Linked DNA regions of Elephas maximus indicus. The protein of the gene in region 2 interacts with the protein of the main gene of each other region in a biochemical or structural test. Links are inferred from orthologs where the notes say so. Each region holds a gene or a part of one and is shown on either strand. Other genes may lie near its edges. The genes, in order: CD24 and SELP.

Region 1 (4,890 bases), about 140 Mb from region 2:
ACAATCAAAAGCACTGGCAAATTCACAGCCCCAGAGGAAAGAGTTTGTTCCCAAAACAACAGTGTAAGCTTAACAGTGTAAAAATATAGAACATAGCAACACTAAATGAGTACTGATTTACGGTAACACCTAGAGGCTCCTTTTAACTTACATAAAAACAGAATCAAGGAAGATTTTTACATCACCCAATCATTTTTATGGCCTTCTAGATTCAATGAATCACAAAGATAACCAAATCTCCACTCCACAACCCATCAGTTTTAGATCAAAGTGAGGTCGTTTCTCATCGTCAAGGTCGATTTAAAAGTCTGTTATTTCTTAAGCCTTGTTTAACGAAATTGATCCTTTAACTAACTTTGGACGTTGTGTCTCTCTCCAGTCTTGCACACGAAGTTCCAGTAGATTTAATATTGGGATTCATCATCTAGTCAAAGCCTTCAGGTGCTCTTCAGACCAGTCAAGTCTGGGGTTCTCAATATCTTCAAAGTCAATCAAACAAGGAGTGGAATCAGCAGATTTGACGAAGACGTGTTTTGTTTTTCCTCGCCATGCCAGACCTCTAGAAGCCATTTGGGTTGGGTTTTAGAAGATGGACTGGAGAAGTGAAGATGGTTCGGGGCCTAGGTCTGTTAAAAGAAGAGATGGAGAAGAAGGGAGAGCGAGATCACAAGGACGCTTACTGTAGACTGCAGAGCGATGGCACCCGAAGCCGTGGTGGTGGTCGCTGAGGTCGTTTCCTGTGAATAAACCTGCGTAGGAAGGAGCAGCGCCAGAATCAGCAGGGCCAGGCCCAGAGCGACCAGCATTCCCCGGCCCATGTCCACTCTGTCGGTGCGCGACGCGTCGGGCTCGCTGCTCTAGGGGATGGAGGACCACCGGGCTCCAGGCAGGGACAGGCGAGCTGGCGCGAAGGGCCGCGGGCCGGAGCCTTATGTACCAGCGGCGTCACAATGTCCCAGCCCTGTAACAGCGCCCTGACGTCAGAACGCCCGCCTACTGGCCCACCGGCAACCGCCCGCTTGTCCGCCCAACTGATTTTCAAAGAAAACATTTAAAACTTGCTCAGAGAACCTGGACCCCCTTACTTAGAAATCTAAGGTTTCCGTTGACTTTTTTCAAATGGCCTTATTTTTTCCCCCGATTCTTATGAATAATACGTGTTTGTTGTTGGAGAAAGTTGGTATCCCAGAGAATGAAAAGAGCTTTATACCTGGAGATAATCATTATTTACAATTGGTATGTTTTTATGTGGACTATATGCATGTCTTTTACACAATGAAGATTGTACTTTGTATCCAGGACTTTAGCTTAACATCATTTATCATGAGCATTTTACTGTAATTAAGATCTTTTAAAAGAAGCAACTAGTTTAAAAGGTTGCACATCAAACTCTGTGTCTCATTTTAAGTATTCCCATGTATTTTATAGGAGCCCTGGTGGTGTAGTGGTTAAAGTGCTTGGCTGCTAACTGAGAGGTGGACGGTTCGAACTCACCAGCCGCTCTGCAGGAGAAAGATGTGGCAGTCTGCTTCTGTAAAGATTACAGCCTTGGAAACTCCATGGGGCAGTTCCACTCTGTCCTATAAGGTCACTGTGAGTCAGAATCAACTGGATGGCAGTGCGTTTTGTTTTGTTTACGTATTTTATGGAGAAGTCAAAAAATACGCCATGGTGTTAGTCTTCGTTGTTTCTGGCTGATGGGATTTCTGTGTTTCCAACTTTTCTACACTGGTTATATGTTTCTTTTGGGGATTGAACCAGCAGGTTGATTTCTGAGATGTGGGATTGGTGGAATTCAAGCTAGAACAAACCAAGGCAAGTTGCTGTTAGGTGCCATGGAGTTGATTCCAACTCACAGCGACCCTATGTGAAACAGAACGAAACACTGCCCAGTCCTGCACCATCCTCACAATCATTACTATGTTTGAGCCCATTGTTGCAGCCACTGTGTCAGTCCATCTCATTGAATGTCTTCCTCTTTTTCCCTGACCCCCTACTTCACCAAGCATGATGTTCTTCTCCAGGGACTGATCCCTCCTGACAACATGTCCAAAATATATGAGAAGAAGACTCATCATCCTTGCTTCTAAGGAGCATTCTGGCTGTACTTCTTCCAAGACAGATTTGTTCGTTCTTCTGGCAGTCCAGAATTATGGTGTGACCATAATTCAAAGGCATCAATTCTTCGGTCTTCCTTATCCACTGCCCAACCAAGGCATAAATTGCTTTAAAAAAAAAAAAAAAAAAACCATAGACCTGACATGCTACCATATGGATGAGCCTTGAGAACATTATGCTGAGTGAAGTCAGTCACAAAAGGACAAATAGCGTATGATCCCACTTACATGAAATATTTAGAATAGGTAAATGGGCAGAGAATATTAGTGGTTACCAGGGACAGAAGGGAAACCCTGGTGGCGTAGTGGTTAAGTGCTACGGCTACAAACCAAATGGTCAGCCATTCAAATCCACCAAGCGCGCTCCTTGGAAACTCTATGGGGCAGTTCTACTCTGTCCTATAGGGTTGCTATGAGTCAGAATTGACTCGATGGCAATGGGTTTTTCGGTTTCAGGAAGGTCATTGTTAAGAAGCAATGAGTTTCTGTTTATAAAAGTTTTCTGATAGAAATTTGGCACCAATTATTAGTGATGGTTGCACAACATGATTAATTGGTGTCACTAAATTGTACACGTAAGAAATGTTGAATTGGTGCATGTTATATCTATTTTTATAACAATAAAAATTAAAATTAAAAAATAAGTGTTTCATTTTCCACAACTCTTATCACATATAACTTTTTTAAATTTCCAATTGTTTAATAAAAAAAGACTATAGACAGTAGACAGTGGAAATTAAAGAATAAAGACAGGAAGTTCATGGTTGATAATGGAGCACTGAAAGTCTGAATGGGAACCTATCCTTTCGAATGACTAGAATGGATGGAAATACTACCTTCACTAATGTTCGAAATTTAGGGAATGACTTATAATAAGAAATTTAATGTCATGTTGTTAGATGCCGTCGAGTCGGTTCCAACTCATAGCAACCCTACATACAACAGAACGAAACCCTGCCCGGTCCTGCATCATCCTCACAATCCTTGTTATGTTTGAGCCCATTGTTGCAGCCCCGTTGTCAATCCGTATCATCGAGGGTCTTCCCCTTTTTTGCTGACCCTCTACTGCTAAAATTTAATAGAAGTTTTAAAGACTTTTGGTTTTCATATAGCTTGAAGAGAAATTTTAAAGTCACTCAGTATCCTCTTTGACCTTTATTTTGTAGGATGTAAGTATTTTCTTTATATCCCAGAAAATAAAATCCTACTTTTTCTTTGCTTTTCCTATGTCACTGCTTCCTGCCTCTTCAGGAATCTCACTCTCTTTTTCTAAATGTTTAGGGGGCAGTCTGAAGAATTTTCTGACTTCCTCTTTGCCATTTGGGAATGGTGTACACACCAACGGAGTTCTTTTTGTTTACTTTTTTTTTTTTTGAGTCCCTGGGTGGCGCAAACAGTTAACATGCTCAGCTGCTAACCAAAAGTGTAGAGATTCCCGTCCACCCAGAGGCACCTCGGAAGAAAGGCCCGGCCATCTACTTCTGAAAAATCAGCCACTGAAAACCTAAGGAGCATAGTTCTACTCTAACACACATGAGGTCGCCATGAGTCAGAGTCAACTCAATGGCAGCTGGTACTTATTTTTGGCTTTCCTTGAGGAAAGCAATGTGGAGGGAGTGGCAGAGGTGGAGGAAGCAAATGTCTTCCGGTGAGGGGGATGGAAACCTCTGCCTCCTGGAGATATGGGCCCATCCAATGCACTTCTGTCTTAACCGCTGGCAAAGACGCTTTTTCTCCATGTCTGTGTTTGATGGTCACACGCTGCCTGAATGGGCCCATATCTCCAGGAGGCAGAGGTTTCTGCACAGCGTTTGCAGGCTGGTGAGTCCCAGGGCCTGACCCTGAAGGCCTGGGTTTGAATCTGGCTCTGCCATCTCCAGTTACAGGAGCCTTGGTGAGTCTTGTCACCTCTCCAGGCCTCAGTTTTGGCATCTGGATCAGTGTGGATGGGGCTGGAGGAATGGAGTTAAGAGCTGGGCCGCAGGGGCCTTGAAAGCCCTTCAAGTTCTGGGATTTTGCTTCAGGAACAGCAGGGGGCCATTGACACCTTTAAACAGCTAGAGGACAGGACGGTAGTGCATTTTAAATGTATCTCTTAGAACCTTTGTCTCAGCCCCTCTGTGAGGTGTGGGGATGAAATATGGTCAGGAGCAGCTGGAAAGCTTAGAGTGGAGATGGCTCAGCACCATTTCCCAGGAAATGGCAGCAAGTATCATTGGGGGGACAGTGGGTGGAGTGAGAACCGTAATCAGCAGCTCTGGACAGATGCCCTGTCTGCCCCCACCCCTGCCTGTCATAGCAGTAGCTCCTCCCTTGTGAGGGCACCGAGCCCAGTGCTCACTGGTACATGCCCTGTACTCACCGCATCCTCACATTGAGGCAGGGGTTATTACCACCCCATTTCACAGAAGGGGAAACTGGGCTCGGGGAGGTTATTGACTTGTCTGTTAGACTTTGGAATACTGGAATGGGAGATACTTTAAAGACCTGTCCTCCAGGCCCATCTGCACTTCACAGAGGGGGAAACTAAGGCCCAGAGAAGAGCAGTGGCTTGCCAGAAGTGAACTGTCCATTGACAAAGCAATTAATTAATTTAGTTAAATAGCTCGTGTAAAGCCCTGCTGTGGTGCCTAGCAAGTATTCAAGGTTCAATAAACGGTGGTTTCCCTTCGGCTTCCCCCGCCGGTCCCAGGCCATATGGCACAGTTCCAGTCAGCTAGTAGATCTCGAACACCATCAGGACATAACTGAGGGGTGAATGAATGATGCCCTG
Region 2 (8,188 bases):
ACATAGGGTTTTCAAGGCTGTGACCTTTCGGAAGCATATCTCCAGGTCTTTCTTCCAAGGTGCCTCTGGGTGGGTTCAAACTGCCCACCTTTTGGTTAGTAATTGAATGCTTAGCCATTTGTGTCACTGAGGGACTCTGCAATAGACCCAGTGGGAGTTAAAGGGGACCTGGCTTGGACTGGGGCCAATGGGAATGCAAAGTGGGAAGGTGGATATGAGAATCATTGAGGAGGCAAAACTACACAACTTGCTGGTGACAAAACCCAGATTTTACAAGGCATTATAACTGATATAAGATTATTCCTCTTAAGATTCTGGGGAGAGGAGTGATGGTGTGACAAGCTATTAGTAGGTCTGGCTTAAAGGTAGAAAAATGAAACCCAGTGAGAAAAGAGATTGCCTGATAGCAAGTTAGAAATAAAGGCAGGAAGGAGCCCAGGACATTAAGACATAGAATATAGACACGTATTCAACTGAGACTACCGACCATCGTTACTTAGGGCAAAATGTAAGCATTAAAAATGAAGTCGTATGCCTATAAAAAATGTCTTGTTGGACCCTAGCCAAGCTATAGCCCTCCTAATACGAGGGTTAGCTATGTGACTTTATAGAATTTCTGTTCTGCTTTTCAATCAGAGGAGCTGGATACTGAGAAGACAATGTAATAAATGCCATTTAGGAAACTACAGTCTATCTACTCTCTAGTGTTGGGTCCACAGTCTTTTCTCAGTTCCACCTGTTCTGTTCTGAGTCCTTTTTTTTGAGGATTTGGTTACTAAGCTTCCACCTACACAACTCTGAGGCTGCACATTTTAAGAACCAGTGGCCAAAAAAAAAAAAAAGAAACAGTGGCCATCCCAAGAGAGTCTGAACCACTTAGCCGCGTTTTGGAAAACTGGTAATGGAAAGAAGAGTAGGAGTTAAAAGTCACAGACCTAAGATGGTGAAAAACTATAATGGGAGAGAATCCACAGCTTGGTGGGTTGTAGCCCACTAAAAACTTTGAGTAACATCAGCATGATTTAAGCTTCCACTCAAGAGCTCTCTTTCCGAGGTCTTTCTGATTGAAAACAACTTGCCAGCTAAACCTTAGCCTTGTTTCCTGAGGTCCTTCAGGTTCACTGGAGCCACTTTCGGAACCTGAAACAGAACAGACACTTTGAGACTCCTGAATGCCAAGGGCCAAATGTGCCCAGGGGCAAAGGAAGAAGCCTCGTCTCTGGATTGTGAAAAACGTCACAGGGCTGGGGTCCTTGCACTTCATGGTAGAGTGCCTACCTCACTGTTGGAGGATTTGATGAGGTCACAAAATTAAGGCCTTTGGCCCAGTGTCTGGCGTGTGGTGAAGGCTCGATAAATATTCATTATTATTATTATATTAGTTATTATTATTATTACTGCCCCCTCCCCCTTGGAGCATCTGAGCATTAAGCATAGGGGGCTGCAGGGTGGATTCTTAACCCAGGAGTCACGCAGAACACCCTGCGATTGTTGAGAAAGGCTGAGGTTCACGCAGGTGTTCGCACTTTTGTCTTGGAAGAGGAATTGTAGCTTTTATCAGGATCTCAAAGGACTCTGTGATCCACTATGTTTACATATCTCTGAAATAGAGGAGGGTGCCAAAGACAGGATATAAGGAAGACAGAAATAACTGCATATTCGTGTATGTTGTCCGATTCAGGAAAAGTAAGACAGCAGCAGATAAGACAAAGTTAGTCCACATTCTTATGTCATTGTGGTTCAAACTCAGGACAAGCTTGAAGTGCTTCCTCTTCTCTTCGCCAACCTCTTATCCCCGTTTCCCCAACACAGACACCTCAGTTCGGGCACTTGAAAAGTGTATGATAGTGAAGAGGTGTGGTGAATCGGTGTAAGTGCTGCTTTCTTCTGGAATCTCATAGACAGGTGCCCAGGGCAGAGATCAGCCTGGCCCCTCCTTAGCCAGAGCCTGCAGGATTTTGGACCCTGGAACAGTGTGGGATTCTCCCAGTAAACCAGGGGTAAAATAAAAAGTGACTTAACCGTGTGTGTCTGATTTAGGAAATCATTACTGTGTGCAAGAATGCCTAGTCTTTCGTGGGTCTCCCCTGGATCCTCAGCCCCATTGTACCCCCCAAAATTTTCTTTCTCATAACAATAATAGGTAACATTCATCCATCACTTACTATGTGTCAGGCTCATATCTAAATGCTTTCCAGCGTAATCTTATTTACTCTTTACGATGACACTATGAAATAGAGCACTACTGTTATACCTATTTTATAGATGAGGGAACTGAGTCACAAACAGGATTGAGACATATCACAGAAGTGGGAACCATGTATATACTCCAGGTCAGTCCCAGCAGACTCCTAGGTCTCAGAGAAAGAAACGGGAGGGCTGGGGTTGAAGAACCTTTCAACCACAGGCTTGTCCCAGGGCACTGGCTCAGCTTTGCATTCAACCCAGAGAGGAGAGCAGTCCTGGAGAAGGAGGTTGTAGATTTACCAGAGGACAGGAGTCCAGATCCTGACAGTGTCCAGCCTTGGGTAAACCACGCAGGCTCTGCAAGGCACACTGTGAGGCACACATTTCATCTGTAAAATGGGAACAACCTCAACTGCACAAGGCTAAGGGGAGGGTCAAAGGGGGCAGCAGCTGCTGAAGTACTTGTTTGTACACTCTAAAAGGCCCTTCAGCATAAAGCTCCATGGCTCTTGCTATTGCTCTCTTTTTTAACCTTCAGCGTCCTGATTCAGGCCCAAGCTCACTCCAACTCATCCACTTCCCATATGAAAGAGGAATGAACTTACCATCTCCTCTGCGGACTCTGCTCGCTTTCTGCCTTCTGCTCAACCCAGGCTTCTTATGGCCTCACTGCCTGCACTCAGTGTCAGGCTGTTTAAAAAAGCAGCTTCCTATCCACCTTCCCGAAATTCACCACAGCCCCTCCCAGGAGGTTAGAATGTTGATAACACAGGAGCAAAGCTGGAATGCAGAAATGCAGTCACTGAGGGCAGGGGTCGCCTACTTCCACGGGGATGGTCTGGCAACAGGGTAATTGTGAATCACTCCTGGACACCCCAGGGTGAGCAATGTCGGAATAGTCCCCACACCCCCAGGGATCAGGTTTCCTTCGATTAAGATCTGCACCACAATTTGAGAGTATACAGTTGGAAAACATGCTTTGTATTAATCATGATATTCTAAGTGTAAATTTTCCAGTTCTTTTGAAATCTCAGCGAGTGCTATTATTCCAGCAACCTTTAAGGGGAAAGCAGCCCTTGAGGGTTTCCTGGCACTTGGGAGACATTATTGGAAAGAGTTTTGAAAAGATGTATAAAACAGGCACAGATCATTGGAAAGAAATTTCTGCTCTTTATGTCAGAAAAAAAAAAGATGATTTTAAAATGGAAGGGCTATATTTCTCTGCCCATGGAGTCTGTAGGATGGAGACTCTGTGACGCAGTGCTTACGGCTTGGACCTTGGTGTTAAACTGCCTGAGATCCATCCTGGTTCCACCTCTGGCTAGCCATTAGGCAAACTACTTAGACTCTCTGTGCCTCTGTTTTCTCACCTGTGAAATAGGACAATAATAACAGAATTTACCTTACGGGGTTGTCGTAGGATTCAGTGAGTTCGTGTGTGTAAAGAGCTTGAAACAATACCTGGCATACAACAAATGGTAGCTGTTATTATGACTTTTCAGATTGGTTTTCAGATGGCAAAACCAAGTATCAGGTATTTGGTATCAGGTCAGAAGACCATAATTCTAATTTACCCTCTCGGACGCTGGTTGTGTGTTAGTAGATGTTGTTCTTCATTCCGTCCTGATTGTTACAGCTTGTACACAGGCATCTCATGGAAAGATAAAACATGGGATAAAATGGGACAATCTGGAAAAGAAGCCTACAGGTAAAGGTGATTTAAGGAGCTTGAGGTAGCATTTAAACACTTAGGAATCTGGGGCTGAGAGAAAGGGGTTACATAACAGAAACAGAAAGTCTGGTGAAAGAGGTGGTGATGAAGGAATGACTCACCAGGGAATGAGGGAATCTGAAGGAGAGAAAAGAATGGAGAATTTCAAGGCAGCAAAATGCAGTGGATCAGAGCCCAGCCCTTGGAGCCAGACTGCCTGTCTCTACCGCCCACCAACTGCATGACCTGGACTGTTACTCAATCTCTTGACTCAATTTGCTAAGCCATGATAATAGATAAGGATAATAATAGTCAACCCAATGCACAGAGACTACTTTACATGTAAAGCTACTAAAACAGCAACAGGCACACTGTTGGCTTACTGTTCTTTTTAGAAGACTTGCCTCTGTCTCCTCCTGTTCTTTTCACTCTCCAGCCACCCTTTTTTTTGGCATTGCCTCATTTTTTTTTTTTTTTTTTTTTAACTTCTCATGGACAGGGGAGGGTACTATGTAGACTGATAGGTTCTTATTGACAATGTGCTTTAAGTTTGACGATATTAAATTTAAGTGATTCGTGGAGAGCAAAGAGGATTCCTGGGAATGGGAATGGGAGGAAAACTCTACTTGGCTCTGTTTAAAAGCTGTTCAGGCTGAACACCATCTGTTCTTATGCATGTAACCTATGTAGAAAAGTGTTGTTGTCGTGTGCCCTCGAGTCAATTCTGACTCGTAGCAACCCTATTTGACAGAGCAGAACTGCCCGTAGGGCTTCCTAGGCGGTAATCTTTACGGGAGCAGAGCACCAGGTCTTCTCTCCACAGAGCCACCGGTGGGTCAAACCACGGACCTTTCAGTAAGCAACCGAGCGCTTAACCCTTGCACCCCCAGGGCGCCTTCGTAGAAAATTTAGGTCGTTTCTAATTATGTTGCCAGGAGGCAGCGGCGGTTCAATGGTTGAATTCCAGGTTCCGTTCCCAGTCAATCGAAGCACCTCACGTGCAGCCACCGCCTGTCAGAGGAGGTTTACGTCCTGCTATGATGCTGAACAGGTTTCAGGAGAGCTTCCAGATTAAGACGGACTAGGAAGAAAGGCCTGAGAAACCACTGCAGAAAACCAGCCAGTGAAAACCCTAAGGGTCACAACAGTCGTCTACAATGGGTTGTGGGGATGGCAAAGGACCAGGCAGCATTTAGTTCCATTGACCAGGCATGGGTTCACCCTCAGTTGGGGGCAGACTCGACTGCAGCTAACAACAATTATGTTGCCATTAAAGTTATGATATAATTGAAATATAATTTAATTAGTAGTATGGCTTAGCTGTGTTGCGTGTTTTTCTCATCCCCCCATATTATACCCTGAGTTCCCTGAGGGAAGGAATCCATTCCTATATTGGCCTTGCATCTCTTCTAGCAGAAGGTAGATACATACTGACTTGCATGGGTGACTTGCATTCACTTGACTGGTGACTCTGGATTAGACACAGTGAAGTGGTCCTTCCCTCCTCCTCGGCAGACTCTGCCTATCTCACCATAGGGGTGCAATCACACATACTAGAAATATTTAAGCAACTGGAGGCTCCAGACTGTGTGCCAGCACTAGGGATTCAAAAGTGAGCAGAAAAGGACACAGTCCTCACGGCTGTGAAGCTCACAGTGCCAGAGGAGGGCAGCAGGTAGTAAATAAAAAACAACACAAATAATTGCAGTATGGAAAAATGTGATACAGTGAAGAGGGTATGATGGGAACTTGACCTGAGGAAAGCGCCTCTGAGGGAGTGACTAATGAGCTAAGATCTGAATCTGAGTAAGAGTTATTATGCTGTTTAGAGAGAACATTCTAGACCAGTTGAGGCTTGGCGCAGCCGGGAGAGACAGCCACAGTGGCTGGCAGGAGGGATTGGAGGCTGGAGAGGTAGGGATGGCCAGGACCGGGCCAGGCCTCATGGTCGTGGTCTGCATATGTACCATATGGCATCTGGGTGTACTCGAAACCAAAAACCAAACCAGTTACCATCAAGTTGATTCTGACTCATGGTGACCCCATATGTAGCAGAGGGTTTTCAAAGCTGTGGCCTTTTGGAAGCATACCGCCAACCCTTTCTTCCACAGCACCCCTGGATGTGTTCAAGCCATCAGCTTTCAGTTAGTAGTCCAGTGCTTAACCTTTTGCACTACCCAGGGCTTTTTGGGTCTACTCACAGGTGGCTAATTGCTCAGAAAAGTTCTACCTGCACAGCTGGTCCCTCTACTCAGAGAATAGAGCTGTAGTATAAGCTTTAAAAATGAACATATAGCTTTCCCTTGTTGTTAATATAATACATGTTCACTGTAAAAAAAAGAAAATTTAGAAAAAGCACAATAAAGGAAAAAATATCAGTCATAATACTAGCACCCTGGCGTACTTACTTAACAGTTTGTTTTTCTGTGGAATGTTTTTAATGGAATTGGAATCATCTTGTACATTCAGTTTTTTTTTTTTTTTTAATTATGCTTTAGGTGAAAGTTTACAGCTCAAGTTAATTTCTCCTACAAAAATTTATATATACATTGTTATGTGACCCTAGTTGCTCTCCCTATAATGTGACAACACACTCCCCCTTTTCATCCTGGGTTTCCAATATCCATTCAACCAGTTCCTGTCCCTTTCTGTCTTCTCATCCCACCTCCGGACCGGAGCTGCCCATTTAGTCTCATGTATTTTTTTTATCCACAACACTGTTCACGAGTATTATTTTACTTTTTTTTTTAATAATTTTTATTGTGCTTTAAGTGAAAGTTTACAAGTCAGTCTCTCACACAAAAACCCATTTACACCTCGCTACACACTCCCAATTACTCTACCCCTAATGAGACAGCCCACTCTCTCCCTCCACTCTCTTTTCATGTCCATTTCGCCAGCAACTAACCCCCTCCACCCTCTCATCTCCCCTCCAGGCAGGAGATGCCAACATAGTCTCAAGTGTCCACCTGATCCAAGAAGCTCACTCCTCACCAGCATCCCTCTCCAACCCATTGTCCAGTCCAATCCATGTCTGAAGAGTTGGCTTCAGGAATGGCTCCTGTCCTGGGCCAAGAGAAGGTCTGGGGGCCATGACCACTGGGGTCCTTCTAGTCTCAGTCAGACCATTAAGTCTGGTCTTTTTATGAGAATTCGGGGTCTGCATCCCACTGCTCTCCCACTCCCTTAGGGGTTCTCTGTTGTGTTCCCTGTCAGGGCAGTCATCGGTTGTAGCCGGACACCATCTAGTTCTTCTGGTCTCAGGATGATGTAGTCTCTGGTTCATGTGGCCCTTTCTGTCTCTTGGGCTGGTGATTGCCTTGTGTCCTTGGTGTTCTTCATTCTCCTTGATCCAGGTGGGTTGAGACCAACTGATGCATCTTAGATGGCTGCTTGCTAGCGTTTAAGACACCAGACGCCACTCTTCAAAGTGGTATGCAGAATGTTTTCTTAATAGATTTTATTATGCCAATTGACTTAGATGTCCCCTGAAACCATGGTCCCCAGACCCCTGCCCCTGCTACGCTGGCCTTCGAAGCATTCAGTTTACTCAGGAAACTTCTTTGCGTTTTGGTTAGTCCAGTTGTGCTGACCTCCCCTGTATTGTGTGCTGTCTTTCCCTTCACCTAAAGTAGTTCTTATCCACTATCTAATTAGCGAATGTCCCTGTCCCACCCTCCCTCCCTCCCCCCTCTCGTAACCACAAAAGAATGTTTTCTTCTCACTTTAAACTATTTCTCAAGTTCTTATAATAGTGGTCTTATACAATATTTGTCCTTTTGCAACTGAGTAATTTCACTCAGCATAATGCCTTCCAGGTTCCTCCACGTTATGAAATGTTTCACAGATTCCTCACTGTTCTTTATCGACGCATAGTATTCCATTATTTTACTTTTTATGGTCCAGTCTAATCTTTGAAGAGTTGGCTTCAGGAATGGTTTTAGTTTGGGGTTAACAGAAAGTCCAGGGGTCATGGCTTCAGGGGTTCCTCCAGTCTCAGTCAGACCATTAAGTCTGGCCTTTTTACGTGAATTTAAGTTCTGCTCCACGCTTTTCTCCTGCTCCGTCAAAGACTCTCTGTTGTGTTCCCGGTCAGGGCAGTCATTGGTAGTAGTCCAGGCGCCGTCTGGTTCATCTGGTCTCAGGCTGATGAAGTCTCTGGTTTATGTGGCTCTTTTGTCTCTTGGGTTAATACTTTCCTTGTATCTTTGGTGTTCTTCATTCTCCTTTGCTCCAAGCGGGTTGGGACCAATTGATGTATCTTAGATGGCTGCTCACTAGCTTTTAAGA

Evidence for each region.
Region 1: the proteins of SELP (region 2) and CD24 form a complex in vitro, tested with the Homo sapiens proteins (2 studies listed by BioGRID and IntAct). The link is inferred for Elephas maximus indicus from reciprocal best matches to the Homo sapiens genes SELP and CD24.

The regions. Positions count from the first base shown.
Region 1 is NC_064821.1:71,461,219-71,466,108, forward strand, and holds CD24 (signal transducer CD24), read right to left. Parts: upstream 819-4,890; coding exon 630-818; downstream 1-629.
Region 2 is NC_064821.1:214,369,120-214,377,307, reverse strand, and holds the start of SELP (P-selectin), read right to left. Parts: upstream 3,046-8,188; 5' UTR 2,796-3,045; coding exon 2,793-2,795; intron 1-2,792. UniProt on the Homo sapiens protein: Ca(2+)-dependent receptor for myeloid cells that binds to carbohydrates on neutrophils and monocytes. Mediates the interaction of activated endothelial cells or platelets with leukocytes. The ligand recognized is sialyl-Lewis X.